3 linked regions of the Caenorhabditis elegans genome follow. The protein of the gene in region 1 purifies or fractionates together with the protein of each later gene. This does not show direct contact. Each region holds a gene or a part of one and is shown on either strand. Other genes may lie near its edges. The genes, in order: F25D1.5, scl-2 and Y49E10.18.

What was found.
Region 2: the proteins of F25D1.5 (region 1) and scl-2 fractionate together in Caenorhabditis elegans (co-fractionation; one large-scale study listed by BioGRID). This does not show direct contact.
Region 3: the proteins of F25D1.5 (region 1) and Y49E10.18 fractionate together in Caenorhabditis elegans (co-fractionation; one large-scale study listed by BioGRID). This does not show direct contact.

Annotation. Positions count from the first base shown.
Region 1 is NC_003283.11:10,544,515-10,549,395, reverse strand, and holds F25D1.5 (DeHydrogenases, Short chain), read left to right. Parts: upstream 1-2,612; 5' UTR 2,613-2,643; coding exon 2,644-2,913; intron 2,914-2,956; coding exon 2,957-3,145; intron 3,146-3,192; coding exon 3,193-3,567; 3' UTR 3,568-3,653; downstream 3,654-4,881. Other genes in the region: srd-34 (Serpentine receptor class delta-34), read left to right, coding at 315-368, 716-753, 801-897, 944-1,090, 1,143-1,342, 1,389-1,546, 1,596-1,798; degt-1 (Acid-sensing ion channel 1), read right to left, coding at 3,654-3,775, 3,818-3,909, 4,056-4,147, 4,349-4,783, 4,831-4,881.
Region 2 is NC_003282.8:13,055,309-13,060,246, reverse strand, and holds scl-2 (SCP domain-containing protein), read right to left. Parts: upstream 2,538-4,938; 5' UTR 2,526-2,537; coding exon 2,352-2,525; intron 2,301-2,351; coding exon 2,163-2,300; intron 1,993-2,162; coding exon 1,781-1,992; intron 1,349-1,780; coding exon 1,249-1,348; 3' UTR 1,185-1,248; downstream 1-1,184. Other genes in the region: scl-3 (SCP domain-containing protein), read right to left, coding at 1-146, 389-525, 577-619; scl-1 (SCP domain-containing protein), read right to left, coding at 2,986-3,085, 3,141-3,358, 3,406-3,543, 3,689-3,856.
Region 3 is NC_003281.10:12,443,129-12,448,066, forward strand, and holds the start of Y49E10.18 (Fungal lipase-type domain-containing protein), read right to left. Parts: upstream 2,979-4,938; 5' UTR 2,974-2,978; coding exon 2,876-2,973; intron 2,573-2,875; coding exon 2,518-2,572; intron 2,263-2,517; coding exon 2,141-2,262; intron 1,866-2,140; coding exon 1,686-1,865; intron 854-1,685; coding exon 464-853; intron 1-463. Other genes in the region: ani-1 (Anillin-like protein 1), read right to left, coding at 3,547-3,807, 3,859-4,230.

The sequences.
Region 1 (4,881 bases):
CATAGCAACAGAACTTTACAAGCTCCTGCGTGCAATCATCGAATAATTAGATGTTTCGTTTTGTGTGAAATTACTCAAACTTTACTCTACTTTTCAACAAACAAAAAGATCTTGATTTGAATTCAAATTAGTTTTAACCGAACGTAGTTCTGATTTAAACCATCATACAGGAATAACAATTAGGTAATATATTACCACAGGGAGTATATATTTCCCCGAATCGAGAAAAATCTACCAGATTGTAAACATCCTCGTTACTTCTTGGATATTTTTCACAAAAATATTCTTATTACGAATTTCAGAATTTCTACCACATGGATGTATCCAATGAGAATGCCAACTCTAGTATTATGACAATGGAAGCAAATGTGAGTAATTTTTCTTTTTCCACCAATGGTGAGTCTCCTAGTTAGGTATTTATGAGGAAAAATCAATTGGAAGATTGCTTTTTAAAATAAACTTTTAAAAATATACTAAAATGCCAATCTTTCATTGCCTGTCATATATGAAAAATATCTGTGATTATCATTTAAGTAATTGCCAGTTACTTTAATTTCAGACCTTTTACGACACTGTCATATTTCCAATTTATTTTTGGGTTTATTTTGGTTTTACCATGTTCAGTCAAACTTCCGTCGTGCTTTTAGTTGTTTTTAAAACGCCCGTAGTATTCAAAGATTTTCGTGTCTTTCTTGTCAATTCTTCAACTTTACAGTTTTTCATGTGCATAATAGTTGTCTTCACACAAGTCAGGTTAGTTGTACGATAATATTAATTTTTAGCTAACACTGTTCCTTCAGACCTGTGAACAATCCAGAATCGTCAGCATATCTTTTTAGCGGGTTTTGTAGACACACTCATAAAAATGCTTGCTTTTTCAGTTTTGATTTTTTCCAGGTAAGTGTCCTGTAATTGTTATTTTTTACAAATATTCAAAATTCAGTTAGTCTTTGATGCCTCGTCCTTTGCAATTCCTGCTACATTGTTTTACAAATATACAAAAGTAACAAATATTAATATGAAAAACATAACTAAAAATCAAATCAGAATGATTCTTTTAAGCTCTTACCTTCTATCTTTAATTGTGGGGGTGAGTTTTGCTTTTCGTGATTGATCTAGAATGGAAATATGAATGTTTCTAGGTGATCTATGTGATAACGTACGAACCAGACGAATCTCTTGAGGTTGCTTCAGAGACCAGGAAGTTTCATTCAACACAATATGATTTCCGGTACTATGCGGATATCACTGGATATCAAAAACATTTTTGGAGCTGGTTAGCAACAAATTTGAATATGATAAGCATTTTCGTCCCACCAATCATGAGTATTGTGTTTATTAGGTAATAAATTTGAGTTTCGAAGAAATACTTACCAATGTGTTTCCAGACTAATACAAATTAAACTCAACAGTTTAAAACATTTATTTACTGATAAAACTGCTGCTCAAGCCAAGAAGTTTGATCTTGCTTTGACGATTCAGACACTTGTCCCTGCAGTTTGTGTGATTCCTATATACATAGCTCACTTAATACTTGAGAATTATGGTAGGCTCCTGTCCGTTTTTACAGTAAAATAATATGTGACAATTTTCAGACTTGCCGTTTCTCTCAAATTTTGAAAAAGTTCTATATATGATGCTTTCTCTTCCAACAGCTATTGATGCGTTCATTGTTATTGTCACCATCACACCGTACCAAAAAGCCTTTATTGCGTTTTTCAAGGATACGTTTTGTGGCAAAAAAGTTTCACCTGCAATTGTTAGACGTAACAATATTTCGGCTGTTTCCATTTTTTGAGCATTTTGAATAATTGGTAATGATAGTGGTGGACTAATCGGAGTAGTAATCGGAACTTTGCTCAATTGAATAAAATAACATTGTTCAAAGATATTACACAAGCACTTTTATAACAGTAATAAAAAATACCGACAAATGAAAAACATTGTTCGAAGATCTGCAAATAAAAATAACGATGAAAAAATATTTACAGTTCAACATTACACTTTAAAATAAAGTGCCAAAGCTCTCAAACAATTATTGTTAAACAAGTTTTTGGATCTAGAGAGACTATTCACCGTATTTCCTCACCAAATTAATTCATTTTGACGTCTAGTGTCGCACTACGTTTTAACGATACTAGAAATGTGTTATTAAAGCCCTAAGAAAAAGCTTATTGTTTATATTTTGCTAGTTGGCGAATGTCTGACAAAATTAAAAAAACAACCGAAAAATAAGCAGCTAAAGATGGAGAGATGGGTGCAAGACTATTGGACACGGAAATTATTTTTTTTTTAAGCAAATAAAATTTTAAAATTCCTGAAATCATAGTTGTGTTTTCATATTGAAAACTTGATCAATTGATCTTCCCTCAACTGTGCTTGCACAAAAATAGACACAATTCAAAGAGACGCAGAGGAATTAACAGTCACAAAAATTGTTACACTGTCTATGGTCTCTTCGGGAAGTAACTTTGAAAATACTCTCTACGTAAACAGATATTTCATATTTTAGTCACGGAAACTACAAACTTCCATTCAACCATGAAATAATTTTAACTGCAATGAGTATAAAAAGAAAACATTAAACTGCATTTAAACATCACATTCATCTGATTGACATTTTATTTTTGTAATCTCAAAATAATGGCTCGCTTTTCTGGAAAGTCTGTCATTATAACTGGTTCTTCTAATGGAATCGGAAGATCGGCTGCTGTGATTTTTGCAAAGGAAGGAGCTCAAGTTACAATTACTGGAAGAAATGAAGATCGCCTAGAAGAAACCAAACAGCAAATATTGAAAGCAGGAGTTCCAGCTGAGAAGATTAATGCCGTGGTTGCTGATGTTACCGAAGCATCAGGACAAGATGATATCATCAACACGACTCTTGCTAAATTCGGAAAAATTGATATCTTGGTATGTACATAGATAGAAAATGAAATATACTCAATTGTTTTAGGTTAATAATGCTGGTGCCAATTTAGCTGACGGAACAGCTAATACGGATCAACCAGTGGAGTTGTATCAGAAAACATTCAAGTTAAACTTCCAAGCTGTGATCGAAATGACTCAGAAAACAAAGGAACATTTGATAAAGACAAAAGGAGAGATTGTAAATGTTTCCAGTATCGTTGCTGGCCCACAAGCAGTAAGCTTCGGGAGAGAGGATTTCAGAACTTTTGTTTTAATTTTCAGCACTCTGGATATCCATATTATGCTTGCGCAAAAGCTGCGCTTGACCAATACACCAGATGCACTGCAATCGATCTTATTCAACATGGTGTCCGCGTAAATTCTGTCAGCCCTGGAGCAGTTGCCACTGGTTTCATGGGAGCGATGGGTTTACCAGAAACTGCATCTGACAAGCTTTACAGTTTTATTGGCTCACGGAAAGAATGCATTCCTGTTGGGCATTGTGGAAAGCCAGAAGAAATTGCCAATATCATTGTATTCCTGGCTGATAGAAACCTCTCATCTTACATTATTGGACAATCGATTGTTGCTGATGGAGGATCAACTCTTGTTATGGGAATGCAAACACATGATCTTATGTCCGTTCTTAGTCAGTAAACTATAACTTTTTTTTTCAGATTTTGTTAACCATTGTTATCTAATGTAATAGTCGTAAAATACACAATAAAATACATTGAATACTTTTATATAAATTGTGGTTTTAGGAATATATTACTTTTCTTTCGTTCACAAAGAAAAACAAGAGTTTCTGCTGCAGTTAGAAGTGTTGCTCCAACATATAATCCAATGGTTCCTCCAATTTCGGCTGAAAACTTTCAAAGTTACAAGCACATCGAGTAAAACTCACCAAGAAGTAAAAATAAGTTGTAGGATCTTTCTTGAAGAATAGTCTCTTGTTTAAAGTGTGCAAAATAGAACTTGATGTGAAGAAGATTTACTCTGAAAAAAGTTTGTTCCGTTGAAAGTACCAAGTTTAATGTTTATTTGCACGCATACACTCAATTAGAACAAGACGTCACGGCGGCGTCGTTTGCCATCACTGAGCTCACCCTACTCACAACTCAGATTACGCTTAAAAGACTTACACATCATATTGAGGAGTTGGAGAATATGACTGGGCCATCAAAACTTGGTTTCGAAGTCTTGAAAGCCATTCGCCACGGATGAATCGAGTTTTCTTTAAAATATAGAAATTAAAATCAGATCTTGATTTTTAAACTTTGAAATATTTTCTTATTTTATGTATTATTCGATTTTCCCCGTTGATCTTCTATGTATTACATTTTGTTACTATTTATCAAATTTCGAATAAACAAACAAACAAATAAATGTAATTTTTAGGTATTTTGAATATTTCAAAGTCAGTAATTATTCTTGCCTTTAAATTTGGCGCTTTTTCGTGAAGTTCATCCAAACATTTCGAGAAATTTGAAAATTTATCACTGAAACTTTCATCTGCAGCAATTCCTGTCAATACTGCAAACTTTCTTCTACTTTCTGTTGCTGCCAAAAAGGTTTCTGATAATTCATTCGCCAATGCTGGAATATCCGTAACCATAGTTTTTCTTAATTTTAGCATTTCTTCAATTTCCACATGGTCTTTTGCTATTTCTCGATACGATGATTCAAATTCTTTTAAATCAATTTTAAAATCTTTCCATTCACTCATTCGAACTCTTGTTTTTAATATTTGCAGTTTAGCCAACACTTTCTTCATGGCTTCTGTGTAAAGTTTAAATGATTCCGAATTTGGATTTGTTTTTGTATGGACGTTAGATGCTTCAATAAGTGGAGTGTAGCGATTCTTGAAAATCTAAAAATAATTATTATTCTTCAAATCCATGCATTAGTTTGACATACAATTCTGCAATCTTCTGCAATCTCTTCAACTCTCTCCAGATTTTCATACAT
Region 2 (4,938 bases), on another chromosome or scaffold:
GCTCCTCCATAGATATCCATTCCGGAGAATGGGAGGCTGGACCATCTCCAGTACAAGTTCTCTCCAACTCCAGCTGCATTGGAGTGACCTCTCGGGCAAGTGTTAGCAAAAGTTTGAGCAGCGGTGGCCAATGTGGTGTCCCACTTCTGAAATGGTATTGGAGGTATAAGGAGTGAGTAGTAGGCGATAGTAGGCGAGGTCTAAGAAGTCTACGCCAGCTCTACATCAGACCCTTTAATTAACTCCAGATCAAGTGCTCCCAGATCTGTAGAGAAGCCGACTGAAACTTTAGAAAATGCTCTGAAGAGCACTTGAACCTAGCAAAGACCTTCAACTGAAGGTTCCATTCATTGGAAAATCACAAAGTAACTAACTGCCGAAAACCTACCATTTTCAAAAGATTACTACCAGCTGCTTTTGTTGTCCCTTTAGCCACATATGTTCCCTTGGCAATTGAAGTACGAAGCTTATTATGAAGGTCCACAATGAATTGTTGAGTGCTTTCTCTGAATTGAGCATAAGCTCCTGAAAAATTGAAGAAAATTAGTTTCAAAAATTTCCAAAAAAAAAACTTACCAATCTGAAGGGTAACCAAAACGAGAAGAGTAAAGGTGTGCATGTTGTCTGTTGAAAATACAACTAGTAGGTTGGATATTTATAGGAGATTTTAGTTTGTATGAACAACTGGATGTCGTCGTCGCCGTGAGGGAAACTAAAAGTCATGGGAAGAGGGAAAAAACTAAAGAACGTGTGCTTTAATAGAAATAGACTAAATTGGTAAGAGTTTTATGTTGACATTGTTTGTTTTATATACAAAAGGGAGGCTGAAGTTGGATTTCATTTTTTGAAATTTCACACAGTAGATAGTAACAATACAGACATACGGTAATTTTTTGAAATTCATGGAAGTCAGAAACGGAAAAATAAAAACGTTTTCAAGCTGTTAACTTTCAACTAAATCACCAACATCTTTGAAAATACATACAAGATATCGTAGTCAAAAAACCTATAGCTTGAACTTTTTTCATAACTTAGATACATCTCTAGACACAAGTAGTCTTTGACCTCCCAATAAAGTTCTAACTGCTCATTATACTCCAAATCTGCCAATAGGATTTCGAACACGTAATCGTCGCATTTGTTACATAGGCATTTTGATCAAAGGTTGTTTGTGTTCTGGTTTTCAACTAGCACACAATTTTATTTATTATCTACAGAAAGTTTGAAAACACATTGCATTATTAAAGTTTAGACGCAGAGCCCTGTGGAAGTCTCACATGACGTTCCTGATGGACAGCCGGAACAGGTTGCTCCCGATACGTAGATGTATTGATTAATGAAGTTTCCTCTGAAAATTGATGTATTAGCAAACAGTAGCTTGTATTCAACAGGGCTCTCTCGCACATACACTTTTCAATTTTTTTTTATGTTAAAAATTTTGTCTCGGTTGAAATTAATTTTCCTAAAACTACTTTTTACTCTTCAGAAAAATCCTAACTCACAAAGTGTTCAAGACTACTTTACCAGTTGTCGAAGCACAGTTCACTTTTCGCCAACAACAATATTTTTCGTATTTTTGTATAATTTTTATTGGGTTTTTTGTTTTTAATGATCTCCTCAAAATGATCAAAATTTGTTGAAAATTGCCTAATTTTTTGGATTTTGTTTCAGGGAACGTGACCAAAAATTTATCTTTTTTGCAAACCTATCCTAGAGAACAACACAAAACACAACATTCGCAGACACAGTCAACATAGACTAGTCAACAAATCTCACTTACTGCGGCTTGTACTGGCACACGACGGTTACTTTGTTCAGGCCGTTTGAGTCTCTTCCACAATCCTTGACTCCACATCCGATCAGGTTGGATTTCGCCCACGCCATTTGAGTCGCGTGTCCGATTCCTGTGTTGAAGAGATCGATAGTCATAAGGTTAGACTTCCATCCGTAATCTTGGAATTCTTTTTCCCATGATGCCGACGCAGCAGATCCCTGAATGAAAAGATTGATTATAGAAATTTCAGAAACTTTTAAAATAAAGAAGGTATCAAGCGCCTGCCTCCTGCCTACTGCCAATATTCGCATGTTGTATTTAGGCAAAATTTGAACAAAATAGGCAGTAGGTCTAGGCAGGCAGGCACAAGGTAGACTAAATGACTGACATATTGATTGAGGTCTCCCAGAGATCCACTTGTCCAATACCAATACAAATTCTCCCCAAGGCCTGCATCTCCAGAGTGTCCCGTCGGACACCCGTTTGCGTAGTTTTGGGCGGATGCGGCGACTGCGGAATCCCATTTCTGAAAAGTTGAAATCAAAAATAAATCTGAGAACCTTAGTTATGTACATACCATTTTCAACAGATTTGTTCCCGGCGATTTCTGAGTTCCTTTTGCCACGTAGGTACCTTTTGCAATTTTAGACCGCAGAGTGTTATGTGCATTGATAATTCCGTTTTGTCCGGAAGAGCCGAAATCAGCGGAGCAGCCAACAGCAAGCGCCACAACCAGCAACAAGTAATTCATAATTGGAGAAAAAAGTGCAAGTCAACACGAATATGTTTATCACTGCGGTTCATTTTATAGGAGTCTTATCACGCGAAAACCTGTAAAATTGTATGATAATTGAGAAATCGTAAGCTACGTATGATCGGAAGTGGGCAGCACAAGACCAAAGAATTGACTTTTATCAGTAATTATGAACATTTGAGTCAAGTCAACAAGTATTCTGATTAGGAAGAAGTGAATTTTCTTCCTAATTTTGTTGTTGGCACATAGGCAAGTAGAATGTTTTACTTTTGCCTGCACTTGATGTTGTGTGCATTTTCGTAAATTTTAAAAAAGTTTGGTGTAATTTAAAGTTTTCGCTTTATTTTTTTTATATAATCACCAAGAAAAAACAAATGCTTCATTAGTAAATTAATTCCCAGATTAAAACAAAACAAATAAATTAAAAAATTACAGACACAAAAAGTGAAATCTCTCATTATCCGCAAAGCCCAGAAGCAGTGTCACATTTAGTAGATCCGGAACAGCTGGAACACGTAGTTCCTTCCTTATAAATCGGCCGTCCCATAGTGTTTCCTCTGAATATTTTTGAACAATTTTGAGTTAAAAAAAATCAAAAACTTCAGTGCTTACGGTGGACTATACTGGCAGACTACAGCTATTTTGTTCATATTTCTCATCGATGCGTCTCGTCCACAATTCTTGACTCCACACCCGATGGAGCTGGTGTTTGCCCAAGCCATTTGAGTAGCGTGTCCTATTCCACTGTTGAATAGGGTGGTATCCATTGCGTTAGACTTCCAGCCAAAGTCTTGGAATTCCTTTTCCCATGCGGCAGCGGCGATTTCTCCCTGGAAAGAATTATTGATTTCTGTCCCAGAAAAGTTATGCGACTCACATAGGAATCCAAGGATCCAACATCCGCAGAAGTCCAAGACCAATACAAATTTTCCCCATATCCAGTTCCCTTTGAGTGTCCAGTTGGGCACGTATTCGCATAATTCTGAGCCGACGCAGCTACGGTGGAATCCACGACCTGAAAAGTTTATTGAAGTATCATCATTGGGCTTTTTGTTCAAATATGATTGCCAAAAGTTACCCCAACTTGAATGACTTGAAACTCTTGAAAAAAGAAAACTTTAAGTTTTTTATTTGACATAATTGGGCAATTTAAAACCTACCATTTTCCTCATATCAGTTGCTGGTTCTTTTTTGGTTCCCTTCGCAACATAGGTACTCTTTGCAATAGCGGATCTCAATTTGTTATGAGCATCCACAATGCTTGATTGACCAGTTGAAGTGAATTGAGCATTGACACCAATTGCTAGGAGGCAGAGAATGAAGTACATGGCAAACAAAATTATGATTTAAAGTTGCAAACGTGCTGCTTTTTATGAGAGGAGTTTTTTAATCAAGTACGAGATTTTCAAATAACTTTTAATATTTGCAAAACGTAAACAACAACAATCTTTATTTTTGTCCATTGTAGAGAAAACTCATAAATGATCCAAACGATTTGGTCAATAACAACAACAAATTGAGCTTTTTACGGATATCAAAAAGATCAGCCGGACTGAAAATATTATGCTATCGGGCTTCAAACCCACACACTTTTCGACTCGGCAAATTTGGTAAATTTGCCGCCCACCCCTGGTTTGTACTCGAATAATTACTAGAGAATCAAGCAAAAAACTGGAACAAAACTTTATTAACAAAACTTTATACTTTGACAAAAAATATAGTAAGTACTGATTTCCTCATTAATATTAATAATTATAATAAACTAAATCGTAATTTATCTGTAATTTTAAATTTAACTTATTCAATATTCGCCGACTGGATTCTTACTTCAATCCAGGATTTACACTTGAGGACTTCAAATTGATGAAGTGTGAAGAACTGACAATATGGAACCATAGCTTTACTCCAGAATACTTGAATCATTTTATCCGTAATTGATTAAACGGAAACATGAAAGAATTGAGAAGATTCCACTTGGACCATGATTTCAAAATAAGAGATTGGGTAGTGGTGTTGAATGAAATAGTAGTTAGTCGATGGGACGAAGTACGCCGAGAAAAAGTATACAGGTATTAGTGGTAAAAAGGAAAAATGATTGTTCTTTGGCAAAAAAATTATTTATTTATTTATTTATTTCAAACAATGTGTAGGTCTGGCAACAAGTGAATAAATTTCTAATTTACTTAAAAATCTGTAGGGATGCTAAACTGACATAGGAAATACGGTATCAATTTCCAATTTCAGAATCGGTTTTCAAGAATTTGATTGTTCCGATGGTTGGGATATCGAAAGGGAAGATGGAACTATTGCTACTGTAGTTTTTGTGAAATCATCATTTGATTTTTTTGTTTGGTCTAAATGATTGGAGTCAGAAACAATTATACCGCACGTTTGAAAACGCTTGCATTGT
Region 3 (4,938 bases), on another chromosome or scaffold:
GGAGCTGGGCGCTTTAAATCGGCGTTGGAGCGCAATTGCACTTCAAACTCAAATTTTGCGTTTCCACATGTTAAAACAACAGGGAAATTGGAGCTACAGTACTCCTTAAAGGCGCACATAATTTTGCATATTAAAAAAAATCGGTCGTTTCGAGATCTGTGAATAAGGAGTAGCACCAGTAGAAACATGTTAAAAACTACTCCTATGGTGCAAAAATAACCAATTTTTCTGGCTTCCCTCATAAATTGTAATGGAAGAGTTTGTCGAACTAGGCCATTTCGGATTGGCCATACCTTGGGTAGATTTACGGCGCGTTGCGTGTCGCGTGGCGGCTTGTAAAACTAAATGTATTTGTCCGTGTGGAGTACACGACTTTCCCACGCGTTGTCCAGCTTGTCAATGGAGCGCGAAAAATGCAGTGAGGAAGGCCGGAACTTCGTGAATTTGAAGAAAAAAAACTAACCAAACTTCTGTTCTGTGATGGAAAAGCTCATCCTTTCCATATTGCGGAGGAATGTGTGGAACAATATCCCTATGATGAACAATTCGGAATGAATACGGAAAAGTCTTATCATGCCAAACAGCATAATCATAATCGCCGGTTCGCGGTTGTCCCATCGTAACAAGTTTCACTTGATCACCAGTATAAAGTCCTGAATGGACAACATAAGAAGCTGCAATCGATGCAATTGCTCCACCAAGTGAGTGCCCAGTAACCCATAATTCATACTCTGGATATTGGTATTTTAGTCGACGAATTTCTTGTTGAAGACCTCCATTCCAGAGGAAAAAGAATGCATCGTAGAAGTAGGTGAAAATGTGTCCGGCATCATTGAAAAATGGCTTTTTACCCCTGCAAAACTTCAACAAATTCACAAAGGGAAAAACACGATTTTTTAAAATTTTAGCTAAATTCTAAATTCCCCGACCAATCAGCATCTTTGAACTCTGCCCACTTGCTCTGATTGGTCCGAATGTGGGCGGAGCAAATCGCTGATTGGTTTTTTTTATTGATTTTAAGATTTTTTTTTGGTTTTTTTTACAGAATTTTTTTTTGTATGAAAAATGTTTGAAAAATTTTAATATGAAAAAATTTATGAAAAAACCGATTTTTCATATTTTTTTTCTATAAAACTCAGAAAATTTCAAAGAAACGGACGAAAATCTACGAAAAATCGATAAAAATTTTGAAATTTTGAACTACGGTACTTTTTAAAGGCGCACACATTTTAGCATTTTACAAAAAATTGTCGCGTCGAGACCGTGTATTGGGTTTTGGCGCAAAAATCTTAAAAACAGCTGGATTTAACCATTTTTACTCGAAATTTTAAAATTTTTCGACAAATTCTGAAAATGCGTATTGCACAACATATTTGACGCGCAAAATATCTCGTACCGAAAACTACAGTAATCCTTTAAATGAGTACTGTAGCGCATGTGTCGATTTACGGGCACAAAAGAATTAAAATCATTTATTTATCGATTGAATATTAAAATTAGGCAAAAAGTGAGAAAATAATACGAAGAAACGAATGAGAATGGCACTTCGCTGTAAATCGAAACAAGCGCTACAGTAGTCATTTAAAGGATTACTGTAGTTTTCTTTTCGCTACGAGATATTTTGCGCGTCAAATATGTTGTGCAATACGCAGAATTCCGTGTTCCCGTAATAAATTCAATCTCACGTAAAAAAGTCCAAAATCTCTTCAGTCAACTGTGTGGCTCCTTGAGTTCCCCGAAACGACATGACAACGACTTTTTGTGTTGTATCGAATGATGTGAAACCGAAACAATCGGTTTGTGGCCCAACTTCTGAGCAATTTACACTAAAAGTTTTGGATAGTGTCATTGTTGGCATTGAGTTTCTGGAAAAAAAACGCCGTTGGTAGTGTTTAAAAAAATGTTATTTTTTCAAAACACGGATTTCTGGCTTCCCTCATAAATTGAAATGGAAGAGTTTGCCGAACTAGGCTCGGCCATATCTGGGGTAGATTTACGGCGCGTTGCGTGTCGCGTCGCGTCGCGTTTCTAGTTGTAAAACTGAATCTATTGGTCCATATGGAGTTCGGCTGGTGATTGTCAACGGAGCGCGAAAAATTCAATGAGTAAGGCCAGAACCCCGTGTCAAAATTTTTCTCACTTGAAACATTTCTGTGGATTATTATTGAATGCGGCAGCAGTTGTCAATAAAATTTTTGTTCTCACAAATGTATCATCATACGCGTGTGCTTTATCAGGTAGTTCCGGGCAGTTTAGTGCTTTCTGGAAACGTTTATATTTGTAGAGTTTACAAAAAATCAGTTTATCAAATCGTGATTGATAAGATAACTTGTCCCATTACGATTTGTTATACAAAAAATGCGGGGTTTTTCGCCCAAAAAAATGTGACGTCAGCACGTTCTTAACAATGCGAAATCAGTTGAAAACTCTGCGTCTCTTCTCCCGCACTTTTCGGAGATCAAATCAAAATGGGGCTTTCTGGCACCACGTGAAATTGTGATTGATAAGATAACTTACAGAAATTGATGTTAAACATGGGGAGAATCCGCATTCGTTAACTGTTACACACCAGCTGAAATTCGAAAAAATTGTTACATGCCGGGCAAGCCATTTTGTGCCTACACCTTCTTACAAATTTGCCTCACTTTTCCGCTTATGTTTTATGCTATTATGGTGGGCAAAAAAAAAAGAATTATTTAAAATTGAGGTTCAAGCGCGCTCCACGGGCAAAACTTGGGTCTCGGTAGGTATTTGAATCTATTGAATCATTCGAATACCACTTAAAAATTGAAATTCCCGGTTTTGTCTCCAAAGACCTAACGAGACCCAACTTTTGGCGGTGGAGCGCATTTGCATTTCGATTTTAAACACTCACTGTTTCCCCGAAGCAATACAATCGGAGCACTTGCTTGACTCCACAAGCTGAGCGCCTAAAATCGTGAAGAATATCGAAAAATAGACTAGAAAATGCATCGATTCCTAAAGAAATAGGAAAACTGATAAGAAACCCGAATTTTATATAAATTCCGCTGGGCGGCGCACATGTGAAAGCTTATCAGTTGAAAGGAGCAAAAAATTGAGCACAGTTTAACATTTTTCGCAAAAAAAGTTGAACTTTTTATCTGTAATTACATGGCATATCTAGTTCGATTTAAAGTTATTTTTAACTTGAATATTTCCTTTTCTTTCCGTCTTCTTCATTCTATTCGGAACCACTGTTTTCTCACACTTTCACCAAATGTTTATTTTAACAAAAAAAAAACCGAAAATTAATTGTAAGAGTGTACGATGGTGAGGGGCACTGTGAAACTAAAATTTTCGAATAAATCGAAAAAGGCCCAAAAAGAGTGGAATAATGATAATGGGACAGTGATGTATTGATTAAAAAAGAAGGGAGTAAATTCTAGAAAAGAAGGAAGCTAAACATGGAGAGAGAGAGAGAAGTAACGAGAATAATAATAAAACATTTGATTATTTGTCAAAAAAAATCTGAGGGGAAAAACTGGGGGATACATACAGGCACAAAGCTTGCAAAAAAGGGGGGGACTACTGATTAACAATCGGATTTCTCCACGTGCACAACTGCTTCGACGTAGAATTGATCAGTGACAGCCATGTTTGAAGATCTTGAGCTGTATCGGCCGCCAGCATAACTCGAAGACGCTCAATGCCACGTGGATCCGATGTATCCATTTTTGGAGCCCAAACATCAATGTGGAAGCTATTCGGGAATGGGCAAATGTCTTCAACTACCGATGCACCTTCGGAACGGCAACACGTTGAAAGATCCATTAGTGCAGTGTAACCCTACAATAAAAAAAGTTTAATTTTAGACAAAAAAAATAAAAATTTAAAAACCTTAGTTCCCTCATCTTCTGGCTGCTTCCAAAACTTCATCTCTCCATTCTCAAGAGCACACCAGTATCTCGTCCACGATCCGAGCCCCTCGCCAGTTCTCTGATACATTGACAAGAATCCGTGATAAGTGATATCAGCTCCATCGATCGCCTGTTTGCGTACTTTCATCTGTGTAATACCTTCGAGCGGATATACAGTATGTGACATGTTGTACAAATGTTTTCCAGGGCAATTGATGTCGAACGAGAATGTTCCGAGCAAATTGAAGTTGGATGTGGTCGACGAAGTTGATGATGACGATGCTGCTGGATCGACGAATAGGCTCTGGTTTGCTGATGAAGTTGATCCGCCGCCCAGGAATGTGTTACGAGTCTAGAAATATTACTTATTTCCAGGTTCTATTGATATACACGTCTAATTAAAGGCGCACGGGTTTATTCAGAAGGGTCTCGGAGCGCATGATAACCTCATTTATTTTCCATTTTGCAATCAAATTGCTTGCGAGTATGTAGCGAAAAATTCGCTTAAAACAACGGCGCGCCGAGACCCATATGAATAAATCTGTGCGGCTTTAAGAACACGGCCCGAGAAGTGGTACCTGTACGCAATTTGTCTACCGTATACCTGGACGTTTGGGCGCGTGTATCTCAAAAACAGTTGTCCAGTTTTTTTGTGATGCATATAAAAAATGCCCGATATTAAATTCTACATTTTTTGGACCAAAGCTTTTTTCGTTATCACGCGCCCAAACCTGGTCTACACTCAAATTATCAGTAGAGCGCATTTGCATGGATGTACCACTTGCCGGAACGTGAAGAAGATGAAGTTATGATACATTATTAACAGAAAACAGAAGAACAAGACATTTGACAATAACAAACAAACAAACAAACAGACATACATCATGCAATCTTCTCCACAATCTACAGGGTAGGGGCACTCTCTTCTTCTCCTCACTTGCTAAGTTTTCAGCAGCTGTCATTCTCGATTCATGCTCACACTCATCAACAACATCATAACAACACCATTTGTCGATATTCTATAGCAGCAGACATTTCGAATTTTCAACGGACGAGTATG